Linked DNA regions of Rhinolophus ferrumequinum. The protein of the gene in region 1 interacts with the protein of each later gene in a biochemical or structural test. Links are inferred from orthologs where the notes say so. Each region holds a gene or a part of one and is shown on either strand. Other genes may lie near its edges.

Region 1 (16,356 bases):
ATTACCGTGGAGAGGAGTGCAACCACGTAGCGTGAGAGATGTGGGTGGTCACCCCAGGTGGGGAAAAGACGATGTCCTCTGAGGGGTGGTGACATGTACAGGAATGCAAGGAGGGAGCCTGTCCATGGGACGTGAGCAAAAGAGCAAGGCTGGAGGAACAGGAAGGAGCCCGGTGTGGCTGGAGAGGAAGGGGTGACGTATGGTGTGGTGGAAATGGTGGTGGGGAAGTAAGGAATAACACAGACCTTTGTGGACTGGTTTGGATGGTGAGTGATATCACATGACCTGCTTTAAAGTTCTCTCCGTCTCCTGGGGTGGGGGAGGGCAGGGGAGCGGGCAGGAGGGGGGCAGGAAGACAGGCTAGTGCTGTGTCCCAGAGAAGGAGCCAGGAATATCCTTCGGAGCTGGATCCACAGGGCCTGCCCATGGCCTGGGAGTGAGGGCACAAGGCAAGAGGACAGCTGGAATCCTGTCCAGGTGCGGGGGTTCCATATCTGAACAGTGATGTCGGTTATGGAGGCAGGAAAACTGGGCCTGGGGAGAAGAGGTGTTTTCGAGAAAAGCACGAGGTCTGTTTTTCCCCACGGTCGAGTGTCCAGTGAGGGTTGAGTGTCCTCTGCAGAGTTTGGGCCCCCGATGTGGGTCTCTGGTACCAGAGGCGACTGCAGAACTCCTGGTGTCATCTGGGCCAGAGCGGAGCACATCACCTCCTCTGTGGCTGGAGCCCACGAACTTCCATTCACACAGCCCAACACTCCATATTTTCTTGGCCCCCAAAGTAGCATCTTCCGTTTATCCTGTTAGCTTTCTCTTGTGGCTGTAACAAAGTATCACAAATTTGGTGGCTTAGGATAACACAAATGTATTATCTGATAGTTCTAGAGATCAGAAGTTTAAAACAGGTCAACAGGGTTGCGTTCCTTCTGGATGTTTTAGGAGAAATACGTTTCCTGCCTTTTCTGGCTTCTGGAGGCGGCCTGCATTCCTTGTCCCGGGGCCCCCAACCACGCTGACCTTGGCTTCCGTTGTCATATCTTTTCTGACACTGCCCCGCCTGCCCCCCTCTTCTAAGGTCCCCTGTGATGACACTGGGGCCCACACAGATAATCCAGAATAACCTCATCTCAAAATCCTAAACTGAGTCACATCCGTATAGCCTCTTTCGCCATGTAAGGGAACGTAGTCACAAGCTCAGGGCTCGGCACTGGACATATTTGGCGCCTTTATTCTACCACACATTTCATCTTGCTTGATCTGGCCCGCTGCCTTTGTCAAGTCCTGTATGGGGGGATAGTAGAGCTTGATGGTCAAAGGGTATGGGCTTTTCGGTCATCTTGCCAAGTTTATACCCTCTTGTGACACGGGTGTTCTCAGGCACGCTAAGTCACTTCTCTGTGCCTTGGTTTCCCCATCCATAGAATGGGGGTAATCACAGTCGTTTCTTTGTAGGGCTACGGGAAAGATTTTACGGGTTAAGATGTGAAAAGTGCTGAGAACAGCTCTTGGTATATAGCAAGTGCTGTGTAAACGTAAGCTGTTAAGTACTTGTCTGCTAGGCATTGTGGGTACAGGATGAAGGTGAACCACTCACAGGGTTTTTCTTCCAGGGCAGAAGCGTGGGAAGAGGGACACAGGACAGGGTAACCAGCAGTGTGGAGAACTGTCTCAGGCCCGTAGGAGCCCACACACATGGGCCTGTCCTCACCTCCACCTGGGTCGGTGAGGGAGAAGGCACCCAGGCTCAGGCACTTGATGCCGCCCTAGGACTTTCATGAAGACTGTAATCTGAACAACTGGCTCACGAAGCCACACCAGAGCTTCTCTAGGGCTGGAAGGGCATCAGTGGGAAGTGGGGAGTAAGTAGTTGCAGGGTTTGGACTCAAGGCCAGACCTTGGTCACGTCGACTTATGTGCCTCCATCCCACCCAGCCCCTGTCTTAGGCTCTACAGCCATTTGTGGGTTCCCATCTCAAGGGCAACATTTTGCAAAGTCACTTCCAGGAAGTAGCAGTTCCATGAGGAAAGGGTTCTATGGCCAAATAAGTTTGGGAAACTTTTTGTCTGTCTGCCTCCCAACCTTTCCTCAGAGAATCAGACAGAGGGCAAGGAAACACATACAAGGATCTGAGAGGTCCTACGATTTAAAATGAAAACCTCTCAGATGGTTTTCATTTTAGATGGTGATTCTTTGTATTTTGCTTGTCGCCTGGTGATGTCCCGCAGAACCAGCCTTTGAAGGAACACTCTGTGGGAAATGACAATTAAGGGCAGACGGTCTGGCCCTGAGTCCTGGGCCCATCTCCTTCTGCTCCCACTGTCCAGCCCATCTGACTACTGAGTGACCCGGCAGCTCAGTTCTTTCCTGCCTCTGTCCCTGGCTGCTGTGGGGCCTGCTGTCTAGATGCTCTCCCCTCACTTCCTCCTGTCGAGATCTTAGCCATCCTGCAAGAATCAATGGAACTGCTCCTGCAGGAATCCATCACGAATCCCCCAAGTTCTTTGTCTCTGTGTATCTCATGACACTTACATTATTCTGCTTCGCGTTAGAGATTCGTGGGTTTTTCTGATCTCATCGCTGAGGTTCCCTTCCTGTGTCCATTCTGTGGATCGCTATTTAGTGTCTCCTATGTGTCTCTTCTGGGAGAAGACATCACCAAATGGAACTGTCTAGAGTCGGCCTCTTTGTCGCCACCAGCGACGGGTCCAGTGCCTGGGTCCTGCTGGGCCTCCAGTGAGTCCATGGTGGGTGGGGGGGGACTTGGGTTTATTCTTTGTCCTCTCAGTTGAGGCCCTGTTTTAGTTGCCTGGTGTGGCTGTCATTACCACACCTCAGTAGCTTAAAACAACACAAATTACAATCTTTCCGTTCATAAGTCCCAAATGCTTGTCACTAGGCTAGAGTCAAGGTGTGGCCAGGGCTGTGTTCCTCTCTGGAGGCTCTGGAGGGAAAATCCATTCCCTCCCTTTCCAGCTGCTAGTGGTCATCTGCATTCCTTAGCTCGTGACCCCTTCCTCTATCTTTATGCCAGGTGCTTCTGTCATCGTCACATGTCTTTCTCTGACTCTCTGACTCTTCTATCTCTTTCTTGCACTTTTAAGGACTTTTGTGATGACATGGGGACCACTCCAAATAATCCAGGATCACCTCCCCATCTCAAGGTCACTGATTAGCAACCTTAATTCCATCAACAACCTTAATTCCCCTTTGTCATGTAAGGTGACCCAGGTATAGGTCCTAGGGATGGGGACATCTTTGGAGGGGCACCATTCTGCTGACCACAGACTCCTTCTCATTTCCTTCTTCCCTCCCACATGGCAGATTCTCAGTGAGAATGGCTATTTTTCTTGTAAATTCCATCTCCAAGAAGGTGCTCACCTGTTGCTGGGGGTTCTTCCTGCCAGGGGTTCCAGGCTCCATCTTCTATGGCTGTTTTTGTGTCTATTGTCTTTGGGTTTTAGTTCCAGCTACAAGGAGCCATGAATAGTCCCCCTCAGCTTCCTGGAGACCAAAGGTGGGAACTGGGGGTAAGCTTGACCTGGCTCCTGCACACAGGTATGACAGCCGTGAAGAAGGCCACCTGTGTACAGGCAGGAACAGACTGTGTGCCTGTGGGTGTGTTTAAGGTCGGGAGGAAGATGACTCCAATTTTAGGGGGTCTCTTGGTCTGGAGCTCAGATGAGCCCTTGGGGTGGAGAGCAGGGTTCAGATCCCCCTAGGACTAGATGACAAAGCCCAGCCTAGTGGTTACTTAAGAGCTCGGCTGTGATTAGCAGAATAATGTCCCCTTAAAATATCCACATCCTAATGCCTGGAACCTGTGAATATGTCACGTTACACGGAAAAGGGTTCTTTGTAGATGCGATTAAGGGAACTTGAGATGCGGCGATGAGGCTGGACTGTCCTTATGGAATCCTTAAAAGTGGAAAACCTTTCCTGGCTGTGTTAGAGAAAGATGATATGGAAGAAGAGAGAGCTGTGACAGGACTCGACCCACTGGTGCAGGCTTGGCAGATGGAGGAAAAAGGCCACGCACCAAGCAATGGTACAGCCTCGAGAACCTGGGAATGGCCTCAGTTGACAGTCAGCAAAGAGGGGACCTCAGTCTTAACCACAAGGAAGTGGATTCTCCAGCAAGGACCCAACGCTGCCCACACCTTGATTTTAGCCCAATGAGACCTGAGCGGGTGGGGGTATTCAGGGACGGTTTCTCTAAGGAAGTGGCGTGCAAGAGTGGGGTGTACTGTGCGAGGGGCATGGGGGCTTGGAGGACCGCATGCACAAGGCTGCTGGGTGGGGGAGGGAGGGAGGGATGGGGGAAGGCCGGGGGGAGAGAAGGTGCCAGAGGATGCACAGGCCAGATGAGCCCGGCCAGCAGGCCAGGGCCTTTTGTGCCACTGTCAGGACTTTGAGCTTTATCCACAGCTGGGTTGAAGCCATCTGAGCGTCTTCAATAGGGTGCAGGGGAGGAGACCAGGTCTGTTTTGAAAAGATCCCTCTGGCGTCTGTACTGTGAGTGGGGTACAGGGGATGGAATGGCGTGGATGTGAGGAGACGCTTGGACGACCATTGTCAAGTCCAGATGGTGGGGAGGTGACGAAGAGCTGGTGGGTTTGAGGGTAGAACTGGAGGTTAAGCAAACAGGACTAGTAACACAGAGGCCTGTGGGTAAGAGCCTGTGCAAAATGGCTCAGGCCAAATCCCGGCTCTAACACTGTCCAGCAGTGTGACTTTAGGCAGGTTTCTTAACCGCCATGTGCCTCAGTTTCCCCATCTGTAAAATGGAATAGAGACTAAGTCTAGGATGGGCCTGGGATTCTGCATTTTGAGGAAGTTCCCAAGTGGTGACAGTGCCTCTGGCCTAGGCACCTCACCCTGAGTAATAGAGGTGGGGAACCCCTGGGGTGGAGTTGGGGTGTACCTCCTAGCTCTGCCCAGCTCTGGCCCCTTTGGGTATTTGATCTGACTCTTCCACCCCCATCCTTCCCCTTATGCCCCAGCTCTAGACTCCCAGCTCCTACAGGTGTGTCCCAGCTCCTGTTGTGCTACGCAGCTGACACCAGGAGGGACATTTTGAAAGTGAAATTTACCAGGTTTTACAGGGAAAACCAAACCAACCTGAAAACAGAGAGGCCTAGAAATGGGAAGGTTTCAGGTCACTCTCTCTTTATAGATTCATGCCACTGAGGTTGGGCCACAGACTTTTGGTTGCACAGCTCATCACGCTGTGGACACCTTGCTCTGCCTCAAACCCTACAGGGGGAACCCCACCCAAAAGCCCCCCTTCCAGTCCTTGGGCTTCCCCTTCCCATTCTCCCCTGCCTCCCCTCTTCCCTCCCAGGCCATGGCCAGGGCACAGCACAGCTGTGTCTCCCCTTCCCCAGCGGTAGCAGGAGCTGATGGGCTGTCCAGGCCCTGGGCCTATGGCCAGTGGGAATTGGTAGGACCTTCAAAATTCAGGAGGTCAGACATCCTGGGGCTACCTTCTCTGCCAGGAGCTGCGGTGGGTGAAGGGCCTGTGTGAATGGGTAGTGGGGGGCAAGAGGAGGGCAGTGGGAAAGGTGGGAGAGATGGCAAAGGGAAAGCGGTGCTTGGGCCAGGGGTGAGGGCTGTGCCTGGGCCACGAGACAGCTAGTTTTTGGGGGCCACAGGCAGTGTTGCAAGGGTGAAGCTCAGGTCCCCACATGCCCTCTCTTTCTATTTATGGGCTAAGGATACCCTGGGAAGGTGGGGTTGTCTACCCCACTGGAGTGACAGCTCCTGGAGGGCGTTCTGGGGCCCATTCAGCTCTCTGGCACACAGTAGGTGCTTGTGGGGACAGAGCCAGGAGTGCAGTTTCCAGGCTCTCGGCCTCATGTGGAAAGGTGCTGGCTCGGGTAGTAAATGGCCATCAACTGTGATCGGATGGCCATCAGCTGTTACCAGTTAGCCATTAACCACTGAAATAACTGCTGTGGCAAAGCTAGCAAGTGTGGATTGCAGAGAGGCATAGATTGCAGTTAGCACGGTGGATTGCAGTTGGCAAGTGAGGTTGGTTGGCAGAAAAACGGACGGCAGGTTGCGGATCGTGTGGCTCCTGCTTCCTGTGTCTCCAACCCAGCCGCCAGTGAGAATATAGTGGTCTGACTCCCCTATCTATGGCTCCGTGGGTGTTCCTTTTTGGCCTCACCATATCCTGCGTTCTTATGTGGGGAGCGGGACCAGAGACCCTGCGTGACACCCTGCATGACAGTGCTTAACGCACTCTTATAACGGTCAAGAGTCAGCTGACCTGGACTCAGATCCTGACCCTGCCACAAGGTGTGGTCGTGGGCAGGTCTTTCACTTTTCAGTTTCCATGGGAATAGGGTCTCACAGGCTGTGGGTTCAATAACAGCTGTTGTTACTTCTACAACATGTGTGCATTGCATTGACCCCATTTCCTGGGCTTGTAAAACGATGACATCATAGGTAAAAACAAACAAACAAACAAAAAAAACATTCCTTACTGTCTCCGTCAAAGAAGGCCAGCTATAGCGGCCCGGGGGGCATCTGGGGTGGATGTTGGGAGATGGGGCTGAGCTGGGCCCGGACCTGCACCCCATCTACATCTCTGGGAATAGCTGGGAGAGCTGCGGTCCAGCACCTCCACAGGAGTATGGGGGCTATCCCTTTACCCCAGAAGCCCCACATGGGAACGGAGGACCCCAGTCCTCTACCCTTCCTTCGTGGGGCTCTGATGGGCTACAGCTGGACATCCTGACCGAGAACCCACCGCCCCTCCCGACAGCAAGAAGACAGCGCCCCCTGGTGGCAAACCTTGGACTTACACAGATTTAGTTTTAAGCTGCTGTCTCCTTCCTGAGACACTGTTAGTTAGTACACATGTTGTTTTGTATAATAGCTTTATTTATCTCTCTGTGTATACACTTATTATTATTACTATTTTCTTTTGCTGTGCCATTTGCAAGTTAGTTGCAGACGTTTTGATCCTGGACCCCTAAATATTTCAGCATGTTTCTTCTACAACAAGGGTATCTGACATAAACAAGTTATCAAATTCAGACATTCAACGTCAGTAGACCATTGACCTATAAACGGGGTGGTGATCTGGCCCCAAAGGGCTGGGGGTGGCATAAAGGAGGAGATGTGTGACTCAGGGGTACGTGATACACAATACCAGGGATTCCCTCTTTTTCTCTGCACCTTCCACCCTCCATTGACGTAGGGTGTGGTGTCAGAAGGTGAAGGGTAAGCAGCCAAGCACCCCTCGTCTGTCCCCCAGGCCTTGGGGAGTCCATAGCTATCAATGAGATGAGCAGGCAGGTCAGGAGGGGAAAACCCAGACCAGGGACCCAGAATTTTCCCCACACTCAGCAGAACCAATAGGGCCGAACATTTACACCCTCAGCCCACCCCACTAGTAGGCTTCCGAGCTCACTTGGTGAGATGCTGTGGGTCAGGGAGAACCTTGGATTGTCCCGGCAGGCCTCTGCCCCTGGAGAGGCCCCCAGGAGACCCCTGATTTACTTGAGAACAATGAGCTCCTTCGGGGGGAGGGGGCGGGGTATATGTGGGTGAAGACAATGCCATGTGACTGGTGGTGTGCAGCTGTCAGGCTATACTTATTATCTCAGATTTATTCAGTGACACTTCAGATGTGCAAAAAAGATAAAAAGAAGAACGTAATCCACACTCCAAATATCTCCCTTTCAGCTACACTGGCCTCCTGGCTGCTCCCTGACCATAGCAGAAAATTTTATTAATTGTTACTGTTCCCTTGAGTGCAGAGAAGAGTAGAGAAGCCCCTTGGGTCAGCCAGGCCTCTCCCCTCGGGCAGTAAATGGGTTCTGCTTTCCCCTGCCAAACCAAGACCCTCCCCGTTCATCCCACAAGTGGCCACCATCTCAGAGGCTGCGATATAGAAGTGGGACACTGCTGCCTCCTTCCGTCTCTCCTCCCCTCCCTCCCACCCTCCCTTCCCTGGGGCCCCCAGTCATAGGTCTGCCCAGAAACCTGCTTCATGCTCACCTTTCATGGACCAGGAAGGACAAACACTCCTTCCTGAGGTTCTCAGCAGAGCCTTTCCTCTCTTGAACCCTCCGTAACAGACAGGCTTAACTTTCCCAGAGCCCTGGAAACATATGGGTGAGCTGTTAAAAATGCACATTCCTGAAGAAAGTGAGTCTTGACCCTGCTTCACACCATGTACCAAACTGAAACCCAGCAAACAAGTTTAGCACGAATTGGTATTACGGGCCTGTGCCAGAGGCCAAGTAGGAGGCAACTGAATTAATCCACGGGAGAGAGGATGGGGCTGGGACCAGGCACAGGAGCTGGAAATACTGGTCCAGAGAGGCTGGGAGAACTTGCTGATGGGTTGCATGTGAGCGGGACAGGGGTCTCCAAAGTTTTTGCCTGAGTTATGGGGGGCTGGGGCGGGTTCGAGGGAGATGTGAACTCAGGAGTTTTGTCCTGATTTCTCTTCTGTAAAATGAGGCTTGTTCTCAGACCTGGTCTTGGCGGTGAGTGGGGACCCGGCCTCCTGGGACCTGAGGGGCTGGAGGGAGGATGGGTGTCTGGGACCCACCCACCCTCACCAATTTGTCCCACTCTCCAGGGTCGAGCCCCCAGGGATGCCAGTCCTGGAGACCCTGGCTGCTACTATGACAAGGCTGCTGGGAAGTGCTATCACCGCTGCCCCCCAGGTGAGTCAGGGGCTGGGGGTGGGGACAAGGGGGGATTGGGCAGTGGGAAACACGGGAGCCAGCATCGTCATCATCACGTTGACTGTAGGTTATGAAGGCCATCCCTCTGTGACTTGTTGTTTTTAATCAGTAGCTGCCCTTTATCAAACACGTGCTATGTACCTTCAGTGCGTGTCGTCGTCTCGTCAGAGCCTCACAATTATCCTTTATTGTCCCCATTTTGCTGATGAGGCTTTTGGGATGCTGCAAGGTTAAGTCACTTGCCCAAGGTCACAGAGCTGGGAAACGGCAGAACTGGCTGAGGCAGGAGTTCAGGGTTCTGTGACCCCAGAGCCTGGGCTAGGGACACTCCTGACTGCCCCTCATTTCTGGGCCTGGACACCCTTTGCAGTGCTCATCTTCTCCAGCCCAGAATATGTGTTTGTTCCCGGGCTGCCTGGACTGTAGCTCTCTCGGGGACCAGTCTTGCCAGCCGGAGCTGGCTTCCGGGAAGTGTCACCCACCCCCTGCCCCGTGATGGGCTCTGACTAGGTTATCTGGAAGTCCTTCCGGAACAGCGGTGTGCCTTGTTCTTCCCACTTTGCAGGGATGCTCAGGCTGGAGGAGGTGAGCGACGGAAGGGGGCCACAAGGCATTGCCATCCTCGGTGGCTGTCATCCAAAGTCCAGCGGTGCGTGCAGTGGCCTTGCCTGGGTGCGGCCTGAGATAAAGCTGAACTCTGGTCTCTGACCTCCGGGAACAAAGACTGAAGGGGGAGGAAAGGTGTTAGTTAGGCCCCTGGAGGGTGTGAGGACTGGATGTGACCCGTTCATCATACCTGCCTCGTGCTTTGAGGACTGAAGGCCACGGGAAGTGGGCGGGGGTCTTCAGGACAGGGAGGGTACCCACCTATGGTCCTCTGAGGCTCCCAGCATTGCTGTCTGGAGGGTGGTGACAGGCTGTGATGCCCAGGATTACTAAGGGTATGTGGCTGGAGCAGGGCAGGAGCCCCAGTCGGTCTGTTCTTAGAACTGTGGCCTCTGCTTCACTCTGCGGGCTGAGCGAGGCCATGATCGGGCGACCAAAGGACCGAGAGAAACATTTGGGGAAAGAACTTGATATTTTCTATTCCTAAAAATGATTCATTAGTTATTCATTCAGTAGTCATTACAGGGAAAAAACTAGAACTTTGCTGGACTTTCTCGCCTTTGTTTTGGGGTTGAGTGTTGATTCTGAAGTGTCTATCAGGTGGGTCCCTGTGCTTATTTGGGACTTCAGGGCCGAACTGGCCAGCAATGCCCACCTGTGTACCTGCCTGTTCACCTGCCTGTCCTTTCACCCAGTCACTGACTCATCTGCCCTGCCCTCCTCCCAGCTCCTCAGGCCCCCCTCCTCCCCCTCCCATTCCCTTTCCGGTTCTTTCAGTCCTCCATCCCCCATCCATCTATCCATGTGTCTCTGTGGCTCAGGCTGCCACAGCAAAATACCTCAGACTGGGCAGCTTCAACAACAGACATTTATTTTCTCACAGTTCTGGAGGCTGCAAGCCCAAGATCAAGGTGCTGCCAGGGTTGGTTTCTGGTGAGAAATCTCTTTCTGGCTTTCAGACAGGCACCTTCTCATGGGAGAGAGAGAGAGGGAGGGAGGGAGGGAGGGGTGGTGGGAGGGAGAGAGAGAGAGAGAGAGAGAGAGAGAGATTTCTTTTCCTCTTCTTATAAGGCCGCCAACCCTGTCAGATCAGGGCTCCACTCTTATGACCTCATTTAACCTTAATTACTTCCTGAAAGCCCTGTCTCCAAACACAGTCACATTGAGTTAAGACTTCAAACATGAATTTGTGGGGGACACAGTTTAGTCCACAGCACCTTTCCCCCACCCAACCCTCTCCCATCTGTCTCCCCATCCATCCCCACCCATCTACGCACCACTCTGCAATCCCCCTTTCCGTCTATACTTCCACCCATCCATCCAACAATTTTTTATTCCTCCTTCTAATAGTGAGGTCACTTGTCACCTTTCCAGCTTTTCCTTCCTTGGTCTTTCTGCAGGACCGGCTGTGCTTGGTGTCCTCTGAACCTACTGTGTGCTTTCAAATCTCTGGGCCTCTGTACATGCCTGTTGGCACCTGGGACGCCCTCCGCCACCATCCCCGCCTGCTGCAGTCCTAACACTCCTTCCTCCATAAAGCCTTCCCACACCCGCCCAGTGCTATGCGGCTGGTGGCACACTGTTTCTCTCCAGGCCAAGTGCAGTCAGGGCTCCGGAGTGCAGTGGCCCTCATGTGACTTTCCATAAGAACCACAGTCCCAGCTGCAGGGAGAAAGACAGACACTTCCTTCCTCATCCCCCAGCCCCCTGGATCCCAGCTTGGTGGGGTCTTGAGAGACAGACTTCCTGGTGGCAGCCTCCCCTGCTTAGATGCTATGACTGGGAAGAGGGAACCCCCTTCCCCCCATGTGCCTTCCCCAAGGCCCGGTGACTAGGGGTGGCTGAGCACCTCATGCTGCTGTGGTGGGCGGGGCATTTTGGTGGAGTTTTATTGACCTTGTGCTTCTGGGCAGGCAAGAAAGGAAAAACGAAAAACCCACAAAAACCCCTTCCTCGGTTTGTTGGGGAAATTTCTGACATTTTGCCCGCCCTCTATCATCAGTGCTCAGCTGTGTGGCAGGGTTCACACGGGGGCGGGTTGGTAGAGGAAGGAAACGGGAAGACCTTTGAGACTGAGTTTAGATGTCTTGAATCCCTCCTCTCACCCAGGCCGGTAGGGCCCTTTCTAGCGTAGGGCCCTTTCTAGCATCGTTGACAGCTGATCCTCGGTCCTCTGCTTACACACCCTCAGTGACAGGAAGCTCGCTCACTGCTTCGTCACAATTACCAATGATGGAGCATTCTTCCTGTCAGCCACGGTGCTGAGCGCTTTACCTACACATCAGCTGCCTGAACCCAGATGGCAAACCCAGAGAGGAAACTTGAACATGCCAGGGTTCAGGGTTTGTCCATGGTCACGTGCTAGTAAGTGGCTCAGGGTGGGGGCGGGGGGATTTGAACGTGGCCGTCTAACTTGAAACCCCAGACGCTTCAGTCTTATTTGTATTGACCCCCAAGGCATTGCCTTTGGGCGGCCACAGAGCATATCAGACAAGAGCCCATGCGGGGACTACAAACCCCTCATTATTCTGCACCCTACTTCTTGGATACCCTCTCTCACTCCCCATAGGAAGGGGTCTCCCTGCAGATGTGTAAGGCCTACCCAGACCTGGTGTCAGGCGGAGACCATGGTTGGTTTGGGGTCTGGTGGGAGTGTCCCATGTAGTCCCAGGAACTGAGGGTTTCTCCAAGGGCTGTGAGCAGGAGGGAGGAAGAGGAGGCGGCCTTCCCTGCCCACCTGCCCTTGGCCAAGTTTGACTCCCTCCTCAGGCTGTGGTTCTCCTTCAGGCAACAGGAGGGACACTTGACAGACATCTTTCAGCCCCAATTCCAAAGCCGAAAAGAAAGCCTCTGACGGCTCAAATAAGTCCCAATGTCCACCTCTGCTCTGGTTCCCCAAGGCTAGGACTGTCCTGGACTACTGCTGGGGAAGGGGGTGGAATAATTCATCAAGAAGGGCAGCCTGTGGGCTGGGAAGCCCTTCAGCAAATGTGTCGGCTGCAACAGGCTGTTAGAACCTGGGGCGGTGCTGCTGGGAGCCGTGGGGACATATTCCTGGGGGGCCTAACCTAGTTGGAGCATTCAGGGGGTGTTTTCTTGAGCTGTTGGCATCTAAAGGAGTTCTAAGGATGAACAGGAGTGTCCCAGGCCAAGGTGGCGCGGGGGTTTGCTCTGGTTAGAATATGCCAAGGCCGGGGACAGGGCATGAAGGGGAGCAGGGAAGGGGAGGCTGGAGGGCTTGGGGCTCAGGCTCCGTGAGGGGAGTTTCTGGGCCAAAGCAGCTGTGGCCTGCCTGCCCCGATGCGGAGCCAGAGGTAAGAGGCAGTGACAGGAATGTTACGACAAATTTGAGAACATCTGGAGTGGGTAAGGCGCTGATCAGAGACTGGGAGTAGAGTATGGCTGGAGGCAGGGCAGGGCAGAGGGACACTTGGGAACCAGTTGTAAGAGCCCCACCACAACTTGGAAACCTTTCTTAAGGTTTGTGATTAAGAAAGTGATACTCAGGGAGCGAGATCTCTGTGGAAAATGGGAAAAGAAGAAAAGAGAAAAACACTCATAATTCTTCTGCTTCCTCTGCCCCAGCCCCCGTGGCCTCTCTGTTCTTTGCACAAGTCATGCTTCATCCCCCCTCGTGGCCTTTGCACTCGCAGCGCCCTCTGCCTGGAATGCTCTCCCCCAGGCCTCTGGGCAGCTGCCACCGCCTTCAGTCCCCTGGGACTCAGTGAGGCCATCAGCCCACACTCCCTAGAGCTCTCTCTCCATTCCGGGTGGACTTTCCTACTCGTAGCTGCTTTATTTTCTTCAGTTTGTACCCACATTGGGAACCAACTTACTAATTTCTTTCCTATTTTTATTTTTATTGGGGAATATTGGGGAACAGTGTGTTTTTCCAGGACCCATCAGCTCCACGTCAAGTCGTTGTTTCAATCTAGTTGTGGAGGACGCAGCTCACTGGCACATGTGGGAATTGAACCGGCGACCTTGGTGTGATGAGCTCCTCGCTCTAACCACTGATCCAACCGGCTGCCCGCTAATTTCTTTCTTGACTTGCTTGTCTCTCTTCCCCAGGCTAGTGTAAGCTCGATGGGAGTAGTTCTGGCATAAAGGTGGTGCTCAGTAACTGAGTTAAGTGAAAAAACAATCCCGCAACCAAATTAGTCACACTGAGCCCTTGAATGTATTTTCTGAAGAAGAGGGTTTCTGAAGTCCAGCCCAGGGCAGCCCCTGGCACTGAGAGGCAATTTTAAAGGGCCCAGAAAGGGGATCTGGATGGCGTCCGATGATCAGGAAAGTTCCATAAGGCTGACTTGGCTGGATGCGAAGGGCTCCCAGCGGGTACACATGGAGATGGAGGAGCATTTTAGTCTGGGCAAAGAACATGTGTATTAGTTTCCTAGGGTTGCCATTAACAAAGTACCACAAACTGAATGTCTTAAGCTACAGAAATTAATCGTCTCTTAGTTACAGAGGCTAGAAGTCCAAGACCAATGCGCTGGCAGGGACATGCTCCCTCTGAAGGCTCTAGGGAAGGTTCTGGCCTCTCTCCTACCTTCTGGTAGTTCCTTGGCTTGTGGCCGCCTGACTGCAATCTTCATGGGGCCATATCCCTGTATGCATGTCGGTCTCTGTGTCCAAATTTCCCCTTTTTTATAAAGACACCAGTCATATTGGATAAGGGCCCACCCTAATGACCTCATTTTAACTTGTACCTCTGTAAGGACCCTATCTCCAAATAAAATCACATTCTGACATACTAGGAGTTAAGACTTCAGCATATATTTTTGAGGGTGACATAATTCAACCCATAACAACATTCCAGGATACATGAGAGGTACCAGAGGAAAGACCAATGTGCCCAGGTTGACTGAAGCATAGAGTGTATGCAATGAGTGATACACAACAATACCAGACCAGGAGTCTGGAGACAAAGTGCGGCCTGGCAGTGCCAGGCTGAGGACTCTATTGATTAGGTTGGCAGAACATGTATTGATCAAATATGTGCCAGGCCCAGTGATAGGGTGAGCAGAAATGGAAAGATCCATCCTGGAAGAGCTGACATTCACGGGGAGAATTCAGACACTCAGACGATTTATCCCACAAATAATTGTGCAATTACAACAGGAGAGTGAGGTACAAGGTCTCTGACGGTTTATGACAGTGGTCCTGATCAAGTTGCTGAGGAAGTGATGTCTCCACTAGGGTGTGAAGACTGAGTGGGAGATTACTGGGGGAAAAGGGAAAGGAGCATTCCTGGCAGAGGCCCAGCTTGTGCAAAGGCCCTGGGGGCAGAAGGGAGCATGGCCCTTTGGGGAACAGGGAGCCCTCGTATGGTTAGGGATCAGAGAGCAAGGGGGATACGGGTGGGCAGAACCTCATTAGCCATGGTAAGGACCTAGGCCTCTATCAGTCACAAGAAGCCTTTGAAAGTTTTAGGCAAGGAGTAATGGCATCAGATGTATCCCTCTAAGACCACTGGGGAGCTATTGAAGTGTTCTGAACTAGAGGGTATCAGCCATCAAGCTAATATTTTTGAGAGGAACTTGCATGTGATTTTAGAGCAGGGGCTCACGGGCTCCCCAGGGTCCAAGGGTAGATTTCATGGGGGCGGTGTGCCTGAATGAGTGCACTTAGTTTCATCAGCCTCTAACTAAAATTGCCTTTATGAATTCCTTCCATTACGAATTAAGGCAAAAAAAGCACAGTAGTAATAGTAGTCCTTGCAGTTTCTCCATCGGTAGAAATCAGATAGTCTCATATTATATTACAGTTATATCACAATTGCTGCAGGTATTGTGAAACATTCTATCCTCATCACGACTTTTAAAGTATGGTAGTTATTAGATCGTGTTGAATGAGTTTACAAAAATCACACATATTACTGTTAAATTATTTTGTTTAATGCTTTAATATCTGTGTTCCAACATAACTGGGTTCCTTTGTAATCCTATGTATTTTATTTCATACTCTTTTTTTTATGTCTTTGCTCTGTACCTTTTATTTTATTTTATTTATTTTGATTTTTAATTTATTTTATTTTTTTTTAAATTTATTGGGGTGACAATTGTTAGTAAAATTACGTAGATTTCAGGTGTACAATTCTGCATTACATCATCTATAAATCCCATTGTGTGTTCACCACCCAGAGTCAGTTCTCCTTCCATCACCATATATTTGATCCCCTTTACCCTCATCTACCACCCTCCTCCCCCCTTACCCTCTGGTAACCACTAAACTATTGTCTGTGTTTATGAGTTTTGTTTCTCATTTGTTTGTCTTGTTTTCTTGTTGTTTTTGGTTTATATACCACATATCAGTGAAATCATATGGTTCTCTGCTTTTTCTGTCTGACTTATTTCGCTTAGCATCATACTCTCAAGATCCATCCATGTTGTCACAAATGTTCCTATATCATCTTTTCTTATCGCCGAATAGTATTCCATTGTGTATCTAGACCACAACTTATTTCATACTCTTAAAAACATGATTCTGAGCAGTAGTACCCACAGATTTCCCCCAGATGACTAAGGGGCACAAGAAATGTTGAGAATCCTTGGTCTAGATTCTTTTGGCTGTAACTCACAGAAGCCTAACTCACTTAGACCCAAACAAGACAAAAGAGAAATAATTGGCTCGATGACAGAGAATCCATGGCACCATCCATTCAGGTTTGAATGATGTCATCAGGAATCCATTTCTCTGCGTCTGTGGCCTCTGAGTTGCCTCCTTCTCAGGTGGGCCCTGCCCAAACAACAGCAGCCGTGATCCGGCAGCTCTGGGCTTAAACTGCCCTTTCAACCTGAAATCCAACATAAAAAGAGGGGCTCTTTCCTGGTAGCTTTTGTGAAACTCTCAGAGATGAGGCTCCTTGGCAGGCATGGGTCATGTGCCCATGAACCAATCACAGTGATGAGGAAGATGTACTCTGATTGGCCTGCCTGGGTCACATGCTCGTCCAGGAAGCAGGCTGTGAGAAGCATCCCAGCTAGAATATCAGACAGAGAGGCCATGCATCTCCCATCCCTGTGCACTGGGAGTCAGGGA
Region 2 (15,749 bases), on another chromosome or scaffold:
CTCCCAGGTAATGCTGATGCCCCTGGCCCCCAGCACACACTGGGGCAAGTAGCAAGGGTGTAAGAGAGAACATCTTCGAGGAAGAACTAATTTATTTGGGAGTCTAAAGAAGCCTGTCTGTGATTTGACAGCTTTCTGGTTTCCTAACTTCAAAACCAAAGCATCTTAGTATAGGAAAGAGTCCTGGTGTTTAAACCATCACCCAGGGCCCAGGGCATCCAGGACAGAAGTGTGACTATTCCTGTTCTGAAGAGCTGCTGGGACAAGGTCTCCCAGCTTCCCTGGCTGACCATGGTAGACAAGATTGGAAAATTAGAGCCAGAGAGGAACCTTTCAGTTCCTGAATCTTTCAGTCCATCAGGCTAATTTTACAGAAGAGGAAAACAAGACACCCATGAGTCAGTGGCAGATGCTGGGGTGAAGTTCTCTGGTGCTCTTTCCACGTCCCCAGAAGGAACGGCTATCTTCATTCAGAAGCCAAGGATAGGAAAGCTCATTCTTCTCTTCTCTCCCCTCCCATGAGCAGTCCTTACATTTGGAAATGGGAAACCGGGGTACAAAGAGATAATGACTTTTAAGGGTTGCTGAGGACTGTTTATACTCTAGGCACTATGCTAAGTGCTGTCCATCAACTTCTCTTTGGCAGGTACCTCCCAATCCTAGAATTCTCTCCCAAACCTTGCCTGCGGATCTGGGTCCTGGCTGGGGAAATGTGAGCCAACTGGCTCAGTGACTTGGCTTTGAAGTGAAAAGTACATTGGCTGGACACAGACACAAGTAAATGGACCCTCCCAGGTTGTCCTTCTCAGCTCCATTGGGTAGCTCAGGAAACTTCATCACCATGGTTACCAACCAGCTACACTTCCTTCATGTGTTTGTTCTTTTGGTTCAGACTCTGGGTTTCTGTGTGTGGAGGGAGGAACTGTCACTGCTTGTCCCCAAGTGAAATGACCTGATCACAATCATCTTCCCTCTCTAGGACTCTGTTTTTTCATTTCCTTTAATCATTGTTATTGCAGAGCTAGCAATTCTTTCCTCCATTGTGGACATAAGACATTAACATAAAATGTTAGCGAGTCCTTGAAAATGGTACCATATTTTGGCTACTCTCTTGATCCTAATGATATGTTTAATTTGCCTCAATATCCTAAAAGGCTATTTCCTTTCACAGAGCAATGCTATGCAGGGATAATCAGCTCCCAAATTTGCTATGGACAGAAGATGCCCTCTCTCATTAAAAATGGCCAAAAGCAACTAATGTTTGGGCTATGCCAGGGGGATTTCACATCCCCTTCCTTGCTGGCCTCATATTGTCTTATACAGTGGGCCACAGAGATCGTTGCTAGGAACGCGTCTCTTATTTTCTAGTTAACATGATTAAGCGCTTAACGAGTGTGCTCAATCCCCCCGTGCTAAATGCATTTCCCCGAGAGTTAGTGATTGACTAAGGCTCAGAGAAGTGACTTAATGATTGTGGAATCTCACCGATGGTAAACAGCAGGGAAAGGATTCAAACTCAGGTGTGTTGACTTGGGTGGAAGGCATGCCACGTCGCCTCTCTAGGGTGGGTCAGGATGAAGCGGGGGCAGAAAATTCTCCTGAGACTCTGAGCAAAGTGGAAGGAGGTCATAGAAAATTCCTAGGAGGAAGATGGTTTTTGTTGGCAGTCTTTGTCTTGGTATGGCTAGTGAATGTGAGAATTGGAGTAAAGTGGCTTAAAGCCGTGCTTCTCCCACTGTGGGATCTTCTTAAAATGCTGAGTCTGAATCAGTGGGTCTGGGACGGGCCTTTAGGTTTTGCATTTCTAATGAGACGGTGCCAGTGCTGCAAGGCCACTGACCACACTTTGAATAGCAAGACATTACTCAGGCCTTTCTTTACCAAGGAACGGGGAATGGCAGTTGGAAGACGAGTGTGGGACTGGGCTCAGACATGGGTTTGGAAATCTTCCTCGTCCGCTGATGGAAGTGGCGTCCTATCCTCTCACCTTCCTCTGCCAATGCTTTTTGCCACCTAGCTCTATTTCCTGCTGTTCCCCTGTGCCATCGGGAGTGACCACTGTTCTGACTCTGCCATTCCTCTCCTCACACCTGGGCTTGCCTCTCCTGGAATGTCCTGCCCCAACTCTACCCGCCACCATACATCCAATGGAGACAAGTGTGGAAAGACTGGGCAGAATTAGGCAATCATTCTTCTTCTACCCTCTCTATTAGCTGATTCAGACGAGGGTCATCAAGGAGAGGCAAAACCCCTGAAGGAAGGATATTTCTATGTCTTCAGCGTATGACCCCATTTCATAAGAGCACGGAAAAAAAAAGTGTTTTAGAAAAGAGATAGCCAGTGGTCACCACCTTTAATCAAGTGATCAAACATTATCATCGTAATGGGACAACCTGGCCTGTGGCTGTAGCTGTGCTGCAATAAGAAATATATAACATTATCTAAGTACTATTCTTGCCAAAAATATTTTGTCTACATATAATCATGACTGAATCTTAAGACAAATCCAAAACATGAACTAGTCAACAACAGAACTAGCCCGGACCCTTCAAAAAATCAATGTCATGAAAAACAGACACCAAAGGGCGGAGAAAATTGTTAAGATCATTGCTTCTCAAGCTTTTACGTGCATACAGATCACCCAGAGACCTTATTAAAAGGCAGATTTTGATTCAGTGGGTTTAGAGTGGGGCTTGAGATTCTGCATTTTTAACAAGCTCCCAGGACCACCCTTAAATAGCAATGTTCTGGGTGAAAACAGACATAACCAAGTGCAGTGTGTGACCTGAGAGGGGATTCTGAATTCCCAAACCAAACAAGGCACAATAGATGTAGAAGATATTTTTAGACAAGTGGGGAAGTTAAAATATGGACTGCATATCATTAAGAGATGATATTACTAAATTAACATTAACCCTTTTGGCTATGATGATGTCATTTCAGTAAGAAGGAGATGGGGGCTGAAATACATGTAAGTGAAAGGTCACACTGTATACAACTTACTTTCATATGTAGAGAGAGAGCACAAATACAGCAAAATATTAACACTGCAAATTTAGGAGAAAGGTTATATGAGTATTCACCGTTCTACTGTACTATAGGCTTGAAAACGTTTCAAAATAAAACTTTGGGCATAAGACATGATCCTTCTAATTCTAGAAGGAGGCTCAGCTTCTATCCTAGCTCTTCTTATTCCAAGCAGAAACTGTCTTCCTTTCTTCTGGTCTGTGACATTCTGGGTCATTCTGCCCTGAACTCAGGCTCTTGAATATTAGGTCCTCATCTCCGCAACCTAGAGAATTCCCAGAAAACAGCAGTCCTGCCCTGGTCACTTAGTCCTTCCATTACAAAGCCCAGCACAAATCCTGACCGAGATTTTCAGAGGATTTTTTGATTGATAAATCAAATGCATTGAAGAGCGTAACTTGGATAGAGGGAAGCATTACGGGGCATCACATCTTACCCCTATGTATTATCTGAACTTCAAAGCAAACCAAAAAACCATACCACCACCAGCACCACCAATCATGACCCTCAAGCAGGTATTCAGCTCCACTCTTGGTGAAGAGGTAGAGTGGTACTTGTAAGGATACATTGTTTTGAAGAAGAAAGTTTCTTTGCTTATAAAGAGAAAGGAGACAGTTGCTTTCTCTTTTTTCCAGAAAGAGTCTCCTTGAAAACCTAATGATCCTGAGCCTTATTGCTTTGTTCTAACCTTTTTGAAAAGATCTCTCCAGGGGCTGGATTAGCCCAGTCTCCAGGTTTATAACAGAGATGTCCCTAAGACTGAAGACCTCAGAGCCCCTTAAAATGTAAACACTTCTGGGGTCAACCTCACAGCCTACCTCCTTATCTAACCCGTTGTCTCTGGAGGAGATGGAAACCTTAATCATTTTCCCTTTTGTTTTGCTGTATAAATTGTGTGAAATTTCATTCTGACATATATGTGTCTACTCTCAATAAATCAATTTTTTTTTTTCCATATTGAGGTGAAGAAGTGTCTCTTTTTTGGTAGCACTTTTACTTTCTCAAGAGGACAATCTCTTTGGAAGCTGAGTGACAATATTTATTGAAGTGAAAAATAGAAAAATATATATTCTATTCCCACCACTAGGAATTTATCCCACAGATATAGCCACAGATGTGCACAGCAAGCAAAATTCTAGACAAAAACACAAGTGTCCTTCACTAGGCACAGATAAAATAAATTATGAAGCAGTCATACAATAGAATACTATGCAACTCCTCGTAAGAATGAGCTGGATTTCTATGTGTTGACATGGAAAGAGCTCCAACGTGTACTGTCAAGTCAGTAAAGTAAGGCGCAAAATTATGAGTTTACTATAATGACATGTGTGTATTATATATTTGTAGATACACAGATATTTTGGAAGGACAAGGCAGAATCTGTTCATGGTGGTTATCACAGAAAAGAGAGATTGGTGGTTAGGTGGGGAACAGGTAAGAGATTTTTACTTTTCTTTCTTTTCCCTTGTTTCCTGTTTACTTTTCTTAAACCATGTCAACATCATGTTTCATAATAAATGTGCTGGTTTAAATGTAAACAAAATGAAATACATCCATCTCAGTGGCTGAGAAACGTTACCAGACTACTATTCCCCAAGCGACATGAAAGCAGGACTTTTGTGGGCTTTGTTCTAGGCTATATCCCCATTGCTTAGAACAACATCCTGCACACAGTAGGTGCTCAATAAACATCTGAGACTGAGATCTAAGCTCCTTCTTTGTCTCTCACCCAAGGAGTGACATTGGAGTTATTTGATCTTCAGGCCAAGTCTCAAAGCAATCTTTGTTGATGTTCCTACATGCCTTACATCTTCTCTTCTCCAGCCCTTTGCTCATGCTGTTCTGTTGGCCAGGCGTACCCTCTCCTCTGATCTCCTTTTCCACCTGTTTAAAATCATACATACTGGGGGTGCCAAAAAAAAGTATTCACATGACTTGTATTCATCTTTCTTTACTGGTATATTCTGAGTATCACAATTTTAATACAGTGTTTTTCCTTTCTTAAAATGTGTATACATTTTTTTGGCACCCTCTGTATTTCTCAAGTCAACATGAACCTCCAATCTCCTGTGAAGTTTTTCTCAAGCCTGCCTGGAAAACTGTTCTGTCTGCGTAACTCAGGGTCTCATGGTAGCACTGGGTGCCCAGCTTCCATCACTTCTTATATGTTGTGACTTACTTTGTTTTAGTTTTGCCTGTACATGTGTCTTCCTACCGACAACTGTGACTTCTTAGGCCAGTACCACCATTCTCGTGGTTCTCCACCCCGCCCCTGTCCAATGTCACACATAGAGAGCGATGTGGCCATCAATCCACTCCATTTTTAATAATTGGGATGTGGGTTTAAATTCCTTGGGTTTTTTTTTGCCAGAGGTCCTGTTAGTATCTGTTCATTTGTCTCAGTTCAACCTATCTTAAAGTCAGCTTGCATTCCCTCTTCCTTCAGGAAGCCTTCCCTGATGGCTTGAGCTCAAGGGGATAACTCTCTTATCTCTTACGACAGTTAATATCTGGCCAATGTATCAGAAATGACACGTGTAAAACATTGAATACTTAATATCACAATGCTTAAGTAACTGATAATTCTCAGGCTAAGCAATCACAGCACACCAAACTATACAATCAGACTGTGAAGTGAAACTTTTCATATCCAAACATGAGGGCCAAGTCAAGGAAACGGATGTGCAAGAAGACGAAGCTCCTGAGAGAAGGCTGCGAACAAAGTGTCTCAGTGCTCCTGCGCCTGTCTGTCTTGGAAAGGGGAATGCTCTTCTCATTAAACCGTCATGCAGTCTTGACTTGACCCCTTTTACAGGGTGACTTCATTCAAGCCCTGTGTCCTTTCTGATCCTCATTTCCCACATCTGTGAAAATGAGGCAGAAAGATCCAGCCCATTTCCCTCATGAAAAGAATCAATTCAACTAAAATTGGGATTTGGATAAGAGCCATCCTGGAGCTCTCTCTAGCTTCATGTCACCATCACCCCGTTGCCCCCATCATCTTATTTCCCTTTCTTCCTTTCTCTGTTTTTCTTCCTTTCTCTCTCTTTCTCTCCCCCCACCCCCAGTGCTAGAGGCAATCTTTAACTAAAAACCTTCTTAATGCAACTTCAATTTCTTTTTTTTGGCTGTTGCTATAAAATGATATGCCTCTGGTTTATATCAGATTAGAATTACTGAAATTATAGGGCCTCTAAAGAAAAAGGCCCTAAAATGTTTTCAAGAGTATTATTCTTAGTAGATGTAGATAAGGACATTAAGTGATAAGTTTCATAAATTCTACCTAAATCAAATGTTCGCGGTTCTGTTTTCTTTCACTTCTATGGAGATTTGAGCCCCAAAGCTTCATTTAAATTTCAAAGCTTGCAGACACTGAGAAAAGATACCAAAGGCTTTTAAAGCCCGTTTTCTTTTTCGCTTTTGCTTTTTTCAGTCATCCCTAAGTTATAGAACATTCAGCCTAAAACAAGGTGTCCAAACTGCGGCCCGCGGGCCAACTGCGGCCCGCAATCCATTGTTAATTGGCCCGCAGCAAATTCCAAAAATATATTTAGTTTACTTAAAGAAACCAGGTGAGGCAATACGTACTTCACCTCGAGTGAGTGGCCCGGCTGTTTGTGTATTTTACCGCAGATGGCCCTTGGTGAAAAACGTTGAAAAAAGTTTGGACACCCCTGGCCTCAAACAACTGAAGGACAGATTCTGTAGGATTGTAATACCATGAAAAACGAGCTACGAAGGAATAAACAACCGTTCTCACATTGGTAGAGTGGAGAGGGAGTACAGTTCTTAAATTATCAAAATTAACAAAAGCTTTACTTCATTAGAAAAAATCATCTGTGAGCAATATATACTCTCAGTACAGTATTTTCTGTAATAATACTGGTAGATTCTCTGTAAACACCAATTTCCTAAAATCGGAAGCAGCGTCTTCCTTCATCTCTTCTGTTTGTACCAACTAATCTTACCATTTGCTTCAAACAAAGTACATCTCCTGAGACAGTTTGACGCTACAGCGTGTACCCGTAATTGCTTGCAGTTTTTGTATTGCGAGCAGCCTCAGAGGGGACAGGTGTTAAAAACATTTCTGTGTTCTTCTGCCTCTAGGCTCTGTTTCTTGTGACGCCCTATACTCTTCAAAGCAGTGACTCAGAAGGAAGCTTTCAATTTGTCTTGTGGGCTTTAACACCAAAATGTCCAAAGCTCTAAGCAGCCCTGGTCTTCTCTCTTGCCTCCTTCCCTTACAGACCCTTGGCCTCTGAAACTTAGCTCCTTGTTAAAAAAGCTCTTGGTAATGGATGAGGCCTAAGAAATCTCAGGAACATTTCCATTGAGAATATAGGACCTTGAAATCTGGTCTGAAAATGTTGAAGATGTGATAACAAGTTGTGCAAATATGTTACAAAGTTTCCCTACTGCTTCCTTCTTTGCTTCAAGTCTCTGGCTCAGCAAGATTTAAACCTTAATTTCTCAAAGCTAATAGCTCTTCTGCCCTCTTTTGGCTCATGTGAGTCTGGAAAGTTTTGAGATGATGGATAGCTCAACAAATTTGCCTCTCAAAAATCCAAAATATTTCAGAGAGTTGAGTTCCCGTTTCTTTTCTCCCTTTCTCTATATGATATATGTACTTTTTCCCCCGTCAACTAATTTATTAGTTTATCCCCAAGGCTGTCTCTCTGGGGAAAACTGAACATAAATCAGAAAGGAAAGGCGGCAAAGAGAAGTTGACTTACCGTCTTCTGAACTACCAACACCATAATGGTTGCCACGGCAAAGACGAGACACAGAGCCAGCGTGGCCATGGTGAAATAGAAGTAACTGCGGCTAGTGGTTCCCAGGTGGTTGGTGACAGAGCCCGCTGGCACATGCATGGCTGTGTCTTGAGCAGGGGCCACTCGGTTGAATGCTTGCTGAAGCCCTGGGTCCATTCTTATATAGTCTTCCCCACATCACACCTTATCTCTCATCTAATTCGGTTCTGGGCCCATCTCGGTTCCAAGAAGGATTCTCCCCTGCATCCTGGATCATGTGACTTGGAAAAAAACCTTCACCGGCTGCCTCGCGAAGAAACTCTTCTCTGGGGGCGTGAGGAGAAAGGCGGCTGCAGGGGTGGGGGAGAGGCTCATTTTTCGTTGCCAGGGATTAATTTGAGTGCAGAGAAACTGTAGCTACAGAGAAGGTGGCTGATGTCAGAGGGCGAGTAGGAAAATGACGGTTTCCCTAATCTGGTGTGTGTGTGAGTGTGTGTGTGTGAGTGTGTGTGTGTGTGTGTGTGCACAGAGTGACTTCTGTTTCGTTTAGACTTAGCCACAAAACGCCTTCCTGCTTCAGAAGTTGCTCATTCTCTTCAGGGAGGCCTGCGGCTCAGAAGACCTTATCAGAAAATGTCTCTTTGCTGGACCTTGGATTGCAGTAGAATGACTCAAAGTCATTCAGTGTGACAATGTCAGCTCCTGCTGAAAACTGGAAATGCTACCAGATTCTGGGAAGGAAGAGCCCACAAATATGGCGACGTATCCAAACGGGGATGAGCTCATCGCTGTATGAGATCTGGGAACAGGCACAGAGAGGCTGGAAACACTGATCCTTTGAACAAAATTTTCTGCAGAGTGTATCGGGATCTGTTCAACTTGCAGATAAACCCAGGCCTGTCATAAAACTCACAAAAAGGGGAAGGAATTGGCAGGGAGGGTTGGGGGTGGGGAAGTGGTCTGGTGCAGAATGTGGGGTGTTGTGTGTGCTCTGTGTGGTGTGTGCACGTGCTGCGTGTGGGTGGTTGCTGTGTAGAATGTGCGGTATGCATTTGTGATGTGTGGTGCATGTTGTAGGTATACGTATGTATTGTGTATTGTGTGTGGTGTGTGTGTGTGTGTGTGTTACTGTGACAGTGGAACCTCTGCTAACTCGGGCACAGTGCTAGGAGGTTCACACATTGCCTCACTCCTCCCTCACCTCCCCCTCTAAGGCAGATAATATTTCTTTTTTTACCAGATAGGAAATTGGAGGATCCCAGAGAATGAAAACTGTCTCAAGCAAAGTCACAAATGTTGATCAGTGAGCTAACTTGGGTGCATAGCCATACCTGACTGGCCCCCAAGAATGCTAAATCATTCACCCGTCCCTGCACTTAAAAGCTGGAAACCTGAGGTCCAGCCTCAGCCCCGCCTCTTGCTGGCCTTGGCTCCCTGCACAAATCCGTATGGCTCTCTCTTTTCCTCACGTGCGTTCACAGCCACCGTGAAGATCAAATGGGATAGTGATGTACGAGTACATTGTGAATGGGAGTAAACTTGGCAGTGGTGTCGGGCCATCCTGGTTAAATGTCCGAAGTGGTCCCCGTGGCTCAGTCTGGAATTTAGATAGATTTAAGAAATAGATTCTCTGGGGGTCATTGTGGGGGTGGCGGAGCTGGTCACATCTGTGCTTATGAATGGACTCCATTTAAATTGGGAATCATTGCAGAGCTGGTGCCTCGGGGTGTAGCTCCTTAAAGATTTCATTTGGAAGTACCCGATTCTTTGCAGCACCCCTGCCCTTTTTACTCACTTTTTGGCTACAGTATATCCTTGAGAACCAACAGGAACTGGGGATCCTCCTGAGGAAATGTCCTGTGTCCAAAGCCAAACTAGGATGATGCCCAGATCCCATACTGCTGAGTATCATCCGAGTTAGGTCAGACTCTAGGAATTGGTCTGGATATTCCTTCCCAGTAAATCCATAAAATCATAGATTGCAGATATGGAAGAGACATCAAGAAGTAAATTGTCTTCTTAGGCTAAATAGAGTGGTATGCTGTGTGCCTATTTTACAGTCGAGGAAGCTGAGGCCCCCTTGATCCCAAGTTGGGACCCTCCCCCCTTTATACACCACTGTATAAGTTTCAGGTGTACGGTGTGATGGCGTCCTTGTTGTTTCTCAGTATGGTGGAGCGATTACCACAATAGGTTCAGCTAACATCTGGGCTCGGTTTTGGAAGAAGCGGGTACACATACTCATTGGGTCTGGTAATTGGGGGGAATGAAGCAGGCCAGTATATTTTTGGCACGTGTACCTGGCTGATTTGGGGAGACGGCTGTGTCCTGTGGGGCGCATGGGCAGTGAGTGGGTAGCAGGGGGCTCTGTAATCTGCCCAGAGCTGCTGAGAATAGGCTGCTCCCTCGGCTTCTCTCTTCAGTCTCTTTGATGAAAGTGGAAAACTTCTGATTGTTGAATGGAAGCTGTGGGTGTTGAAAAATAAAAAGGCTTTGCTTGAAGTGCAGGTCTTCCTGAAGCCCCGCGGGGCTGAGAAGGGCAGTGGAAAAAAAGGTTTGTCTTACAGTTACCCGTTTTGCATACAGTACAATGTCCTGGGAGGGAAGGCTGACATGGGGGAAAATCAACCTTTGTGTTTACTCAGAACCTTCTGAGCAGTTGAGATTTTCATATCAGTTTGCTTTTCTAGCAGCCTGTGGGCCTGATTTCACTTCTCTCCCGGTGGCACTCATCCACTCACATTGGTCTAAACTTCTCCCTGTTGCCAAGCTGTTCTAGAAGCGAGTCTGGTCAACCTAGCTGCCCCATCCATTGTGCTAGCTGGCTTTTTTTCTCCTTTCTGTTCAGCCACCCAACGTACAAATGGAAAAAGCCTTTACAAAATTTCTTGTTGAGTGATTGTCAAATGCTTTCTGTAAGTGAAAAATTTAAAAAGCAGAGCTTCTCTGGCAAAAGCAGATGGGACAGAGAAGAGTGGAGCCTGGGCTGTTCACTGTACCTTTCAATGGCCTGGGGTCTCTCCAAGATGGAACAAAATTTGGAAACTTGCGATTTAGCTCAAAACCTTCCTTGCTCACATCAGGAAACTAGAAACCCCCCAAATGGAAATGACTTGTGGGAGTTCACATGGGGAAGGTAGAGACAAGCTTACAAGTGCCTTGTACTTATCTTCATCCCCTCTGCTAAGATTCCAGGCACACCCAGGCTTCTTTATATGTTCTTCTCACCGTTCCCCTGCTGGGTCCTTCTTGCTCTGCAGGTCCCTGCCAGCCTGCCTGAGCTCCTCCAGGAAAGTCTGTACAGACTGCTCAAGCTCACCAATATCTTCTCTCCAGAATCCTCTATCTCATGCCACCTAACCTTGCATGTGATTATCTACTCATTGTCTTGACGAATGACTGTCAAGTGTGTGAATTTTGCCATCCCCAAAGTCAGAGAGTCCCGGAGGGCAGTCTACACTTTCCTGGTCTTCTTTTCAATCCTGGCCTTCCACTCTGCATTACTTGGCACTGGACACTAGGGTATTACTGGCACTAGGTATGATTAACCCTCAGTCAATGCTTGTGTTGACTTCATGTTTGTGGAAAAAGGAAAGTTCTAGAAGGGTGGCTTATACAAAGAAATTGTGCAGTGGCATATTTGCCTCTTAGTTCTCAACTGTCCCTCCACCTCCCTGTCCTTCTATAGATGGCTCACCTGGCTGCCCATCGGCTTTTATGTTCCAGGATGGCTCCATCATGGAGAGTGCACACCAGCCTCCTTTCAGGCTACAATTAGTAGTGAGGTGTGGCTGCAGCATCTGAGACTCAGTGGGCAAAGAACTAATTTCTTATCTCTTCAAGAAGGAGCCTCATTTTCAAAAAGAGGCACCAGCTCTGGACCACCAACCCCACCTGCCCCACCAGTGCTTCCCCATACAAGGGACTGTGAGAACTCCAATCATATATACTAGTGGTTCCCATAATGCGGTTCCTGGACCAATAGCAGCATAACTTGGTGGCACAGAAAATTCTTGGGCTCCACTCGAGACCTACTGACTTAAAACACAGATTGCTGGACCCCAGCCTGAGTTTTTGAAACTCAGGCTGGGGTCCAGCAATCTGTGTTTTAACAAGCACCCCAGAGAGTTCTGATTCCTGAAACCATTTGGAAATCATGAGTTTAAGGAAATAACCGAAGTTCCAGAACAAACCTCCAAGGGATTATAATCCAGACTGTGGCCTTTGGGCAGGTGAACTCCTAACCCTATTGTGTAGGTGAGAAAACTGAGGCCGAGAGAAGTTATTGCCCAGGGTCAGGTAGCGGGGAATGTTGGCATGAAGACTCGTTTTTTTCTGTCCCTTGATTGAACCCTCTTTTTAACCTCAAATACGACTGTAGGCTATAAAAATACTATTGCTTAGGCAGATGGAGATTTTCTGTAATATTTATTTAAAGTTTTCTTGTGGTGATCATCGTATGTGGTAAAAAGAAATATTTTTTAAAGCTATTGATATATGTGGGAGAAGGACAAACTCCTCCCAGGGTGTTTTCAAGCAATACAACATGCAATGAAACTGCCTACTGAGGAGGGAGCGTCCTGTCCCATTAACTGGAGAACGTTCTGTTTTGCTGGGGCTAACTTGCAATGATTGGATATTGGAGTTGGCCAGAATGACACTTCACTGAGAGGATGCTGTGAGGACAAAAAACAGGGGAAGGTTTAGAGCCGGGTCAGCAAACTATGGTTATGGGCCAAATCTGACCTGTCACCTATTTTATACATAAAGCTTTATTGAAACAGTCATGTCCCTTTATTTACGCATAATCTATGGCTGAGTTTGCATTATGACCACAGAATTGAGTAGTTGTGACAGAGACCTCATGGCCCACCAGGTCTAAAATATTACTATTTAGCCCTTTACAGAAAAAGTTTGCTGCCCCCTGATTTATAGTATTAAAATGAACTCAAGGCAGGATAACCAAAGAAGGGATTTGGAAACTAGAACAGAAATGTATTTCCTAAGAGTCCTCTATAAAATCTTCATTTGTGTTTATATTGATAACTCATGCTTTCCTATGAGGAGATTCTTTTTTGGAGCTAATTGTAGAGGAGCTAGATGTCCTGAAAGGTGCATGACAAAAGTAGACTACTGGAGAGGACACAAGAGCTGAGAGAGGTGTGGCAGAAGACATCTGGGAAATATTGTATAGAAAGGTTTACTTTCCGTATTGGATATATGTGTTTGTGTTTATAAATAATAAGTTATACACATATACATATATGAATATATGAAACATATATGAATAGATATACATAAACATGAATATATACATATACATATATACACATACATATTTACATACATACTTACATATACATGTTATTTCGGCCCACTTTAAAAATGTTTTGAGGCAACTTAAATAAATGCACAGATATATAAGATCTGAAGCCACTAAAACAAAACAAAAGGTAGGAGCCAAGATATAAAGGTAGAGAGAAAGTGAATCGATTAAGAAACCCGGGTTGATGACAGTTTCAGCAGCTGAGCACAACATGTATACCTCTGAGCTTCCTGGTAACCAAGGCAAAGAAGAAAACACATTGGGTTGCATAACCCTCTTTGATCGTGAGAAGCAGATGAGTTCAAAAGGAGAAATGGACCCTTTGCTGGTAGTACAGGTGCTTTGAAATATATAACATATTCTGAAATAGTAGATGGTTGTAATCTATGAATTTAAAGCATGCCATTGCAATGAATTAGGATAAGCACTAATTTTAAGAAGTGAAAATACTGAAATATTTGAAAGGAAATGTAGTTTTATGATTTTCAATGATCCAGAATGAATGATAAACAAATACCAGGTAAGTGGGAGATTCAAAAAAAGAAATAGAGCATCCCTTTCCTGGCCTCCATGGAGGCCTTCTCCTTCCAGTAGAAATGAAGGACTGGAAAACTCTTTAACTTAGATGGAGTTCCGTAAGAACTCCATTGTCATTCAAAGAAGAGAGATGAGTCTGCACTTTTTGCAAAGCTGAGGCTAGGTCCTATGTATTAATAAAAATACATATGGGAAGAGACAGGATACTATTTTCATTGGGCATTTGAGAGCTTACTATGTGTTGTACACTGTTAATATAACAGACATCATTTCTACCTTCATGAAGCTTATAATTGGGTAAGTGAGATGGGCAATTCAAAATGTAATTATAACATAATGTGATTGATATTAATAACAGACATTCAGGGCATTATATGTATTCAGAGGGAAAACTCAAGCCCATCTATTATTTTCTAGGGGGCTTCCTTCAGGCAAACTTTTTAACCTCTATACTAAGTGAATGGGTAAAAATCCACACAGACTCTAGTAGGGTGTTTCACTCCCTTCCTCTTCCCTTTTATAATGTTTCAGCATCTCCTGTTGCCTGTGGAATCTGGTCATTATTTCCTTGCATGTCCTCCCCGGTCTTCCCCTAAAAGCTTCTTTTTTAGCCTCTTATGCCCCTAAAACCCCACTTCCACTCCAGGTGTACTGTTTATTCAGATCTTGGTCCCTGCTAATCCCCTCCATTTGGGGGGCAAGCAGTACCCTTGCCAAAACGTGAAATGTCCTAATTCAACACTTTTTTTTAGTTGCTGTTCAAATACTGTCTCTTCTCTGAGCTTCAACTCCCAACTTCCAGTAAGAATTACAGCCCTTTTTTCTTTGCCGTGTTTTGCAGCATCTTTTTACCTGCAGTCAACAACGATGAGAGTAGTAATTATTTTTATGATTACAACCATCACCTACATTTAGGGAGGTCATATTGTGTACCAAGCACATTATATTCATAATTTCACTTGCTTTTTATAATTACCCCATGAGTGCTATTATTCCCGTTTAGCAGATAAGGAAACTGAGGCTTGCTAGCTGCCAAATGACTTTTCCAAGGTCTTGGTGCTTTTTGGTGAGGAGCTGGCATTCTGACACAGGTCTAACTGCAGAGCAAGTTGCTGTAACCATTCTGCAATCATATTACCTGTGTTCTAGGTGGCTACCTAGGGCTCTGTCTCCCCAACTTTACTGTAAGCACCTTGAGAACACAGCATGTTCCTGGAGCAAATGACTTGCATGTATCCACACCTAGCACATTCCCAATAAATGTTTAAATTGTACATTTCCCTAAAAAATCTATCTAAATACATATATTGGGGAAAATACCATTTGTTTTACGATACTTTTTTTTTAATTGTCATAAATGAAGTTTAAACATGAGCCTGTCCCAGAGAAGAGATCCCAGGACTGATTCCCTCTCCATCCCTCCCCTCTTGTTGCCTTCCAACCTCCAGATTTCTGTTTCTCTCCCTACTCCAGCCCTCGCCTCTAAGTATATAGGCACATAAGTCCTGAAATAGAAGCAGATAGAAACTGTGACACATAGGTGTCTAAGGAAATTGGTGTCTTCTTATAATGGTGCTTGAAACATAACTGATGGGCCAAATATTAGATGAACAAATGTCATCTGCAGAAAAGGAGAGAAAGAGATAGAGAGATAGAAATAGAGATAGAGAGAGGAGGGGAAGGGAAAGGAAGGGAGCGGAGGGAAGAGGAAAAGAGAGAAATTTAAATGGTTCATTTTTCAGATTGTGCTAGATTTATGGGCCGTACTGAGGGTGGAGGTTGACACTAAAAGATGTCCTAAAATGTTGTTTCCTGAAATTAGCAAAAACCAGGAAGTGACCTTTTCTTTTCTCTTTAAAATGGGCTAAAATTTTTTTTTTCAATTTCTATGAAATTTGAAGCTTGGTTTGTCTTGGTTTTGAAGTAGAACTTGATTTATCCCTGGAATAAACTATTTCAAATTGAACAGTGCTTTAGCTATGCAATGCCACATGTTTTCAGTTGTGAAGGGACAAGAAAAGGAGGAAACGTGAACCACAGTATGCACCAATTCATTTTACATAGTTATTTTTTTACGGGAAAGAACAAAAATATCGCAACCTAACTTT

The links.
Region 2: the proteins of TNFRSF8 (region 1) and TNFSF8 form a complex in vitro, tested with the Homo sapiens proteins (2 studies listed by BioGRID and IntAct). The link is inferred for Rhinolophus ferrumequinum from reciprocal best matches to the Homo sapiens genes TNFRSF8 and TNFSF8.

What each region holds. Positions count from the first base shown.
Region 1 is NC_046292.1:8,215,191-8,231,546, forward strand, and holds the start of TNFRSF8 (tumor necrosis factor receptor superfamily member 8), read left to right. Parts: upstream 1-8,635; 5' UTR 8,636-8,685; intron 8,686-16,356. UniProt on the Homo sapiens protein: Receptor for TNFSF8/CD30L. May play a role in the regulation of cellular growth and transformation of activated lymphoblasts. Regulates gene expression through activation of NF-kappa-B.
Region 2 is NC_046295.1:66,486,397-66,502,145, forward strand, and holds the start of TNFSF8 (tumor necrosis factor ligand superfamily member 8), read right to left. Parts: upstream 8,245-15,749; 5' UTR 7,956-8,244; coding exon 7,761-7,955; intron 1-7,760.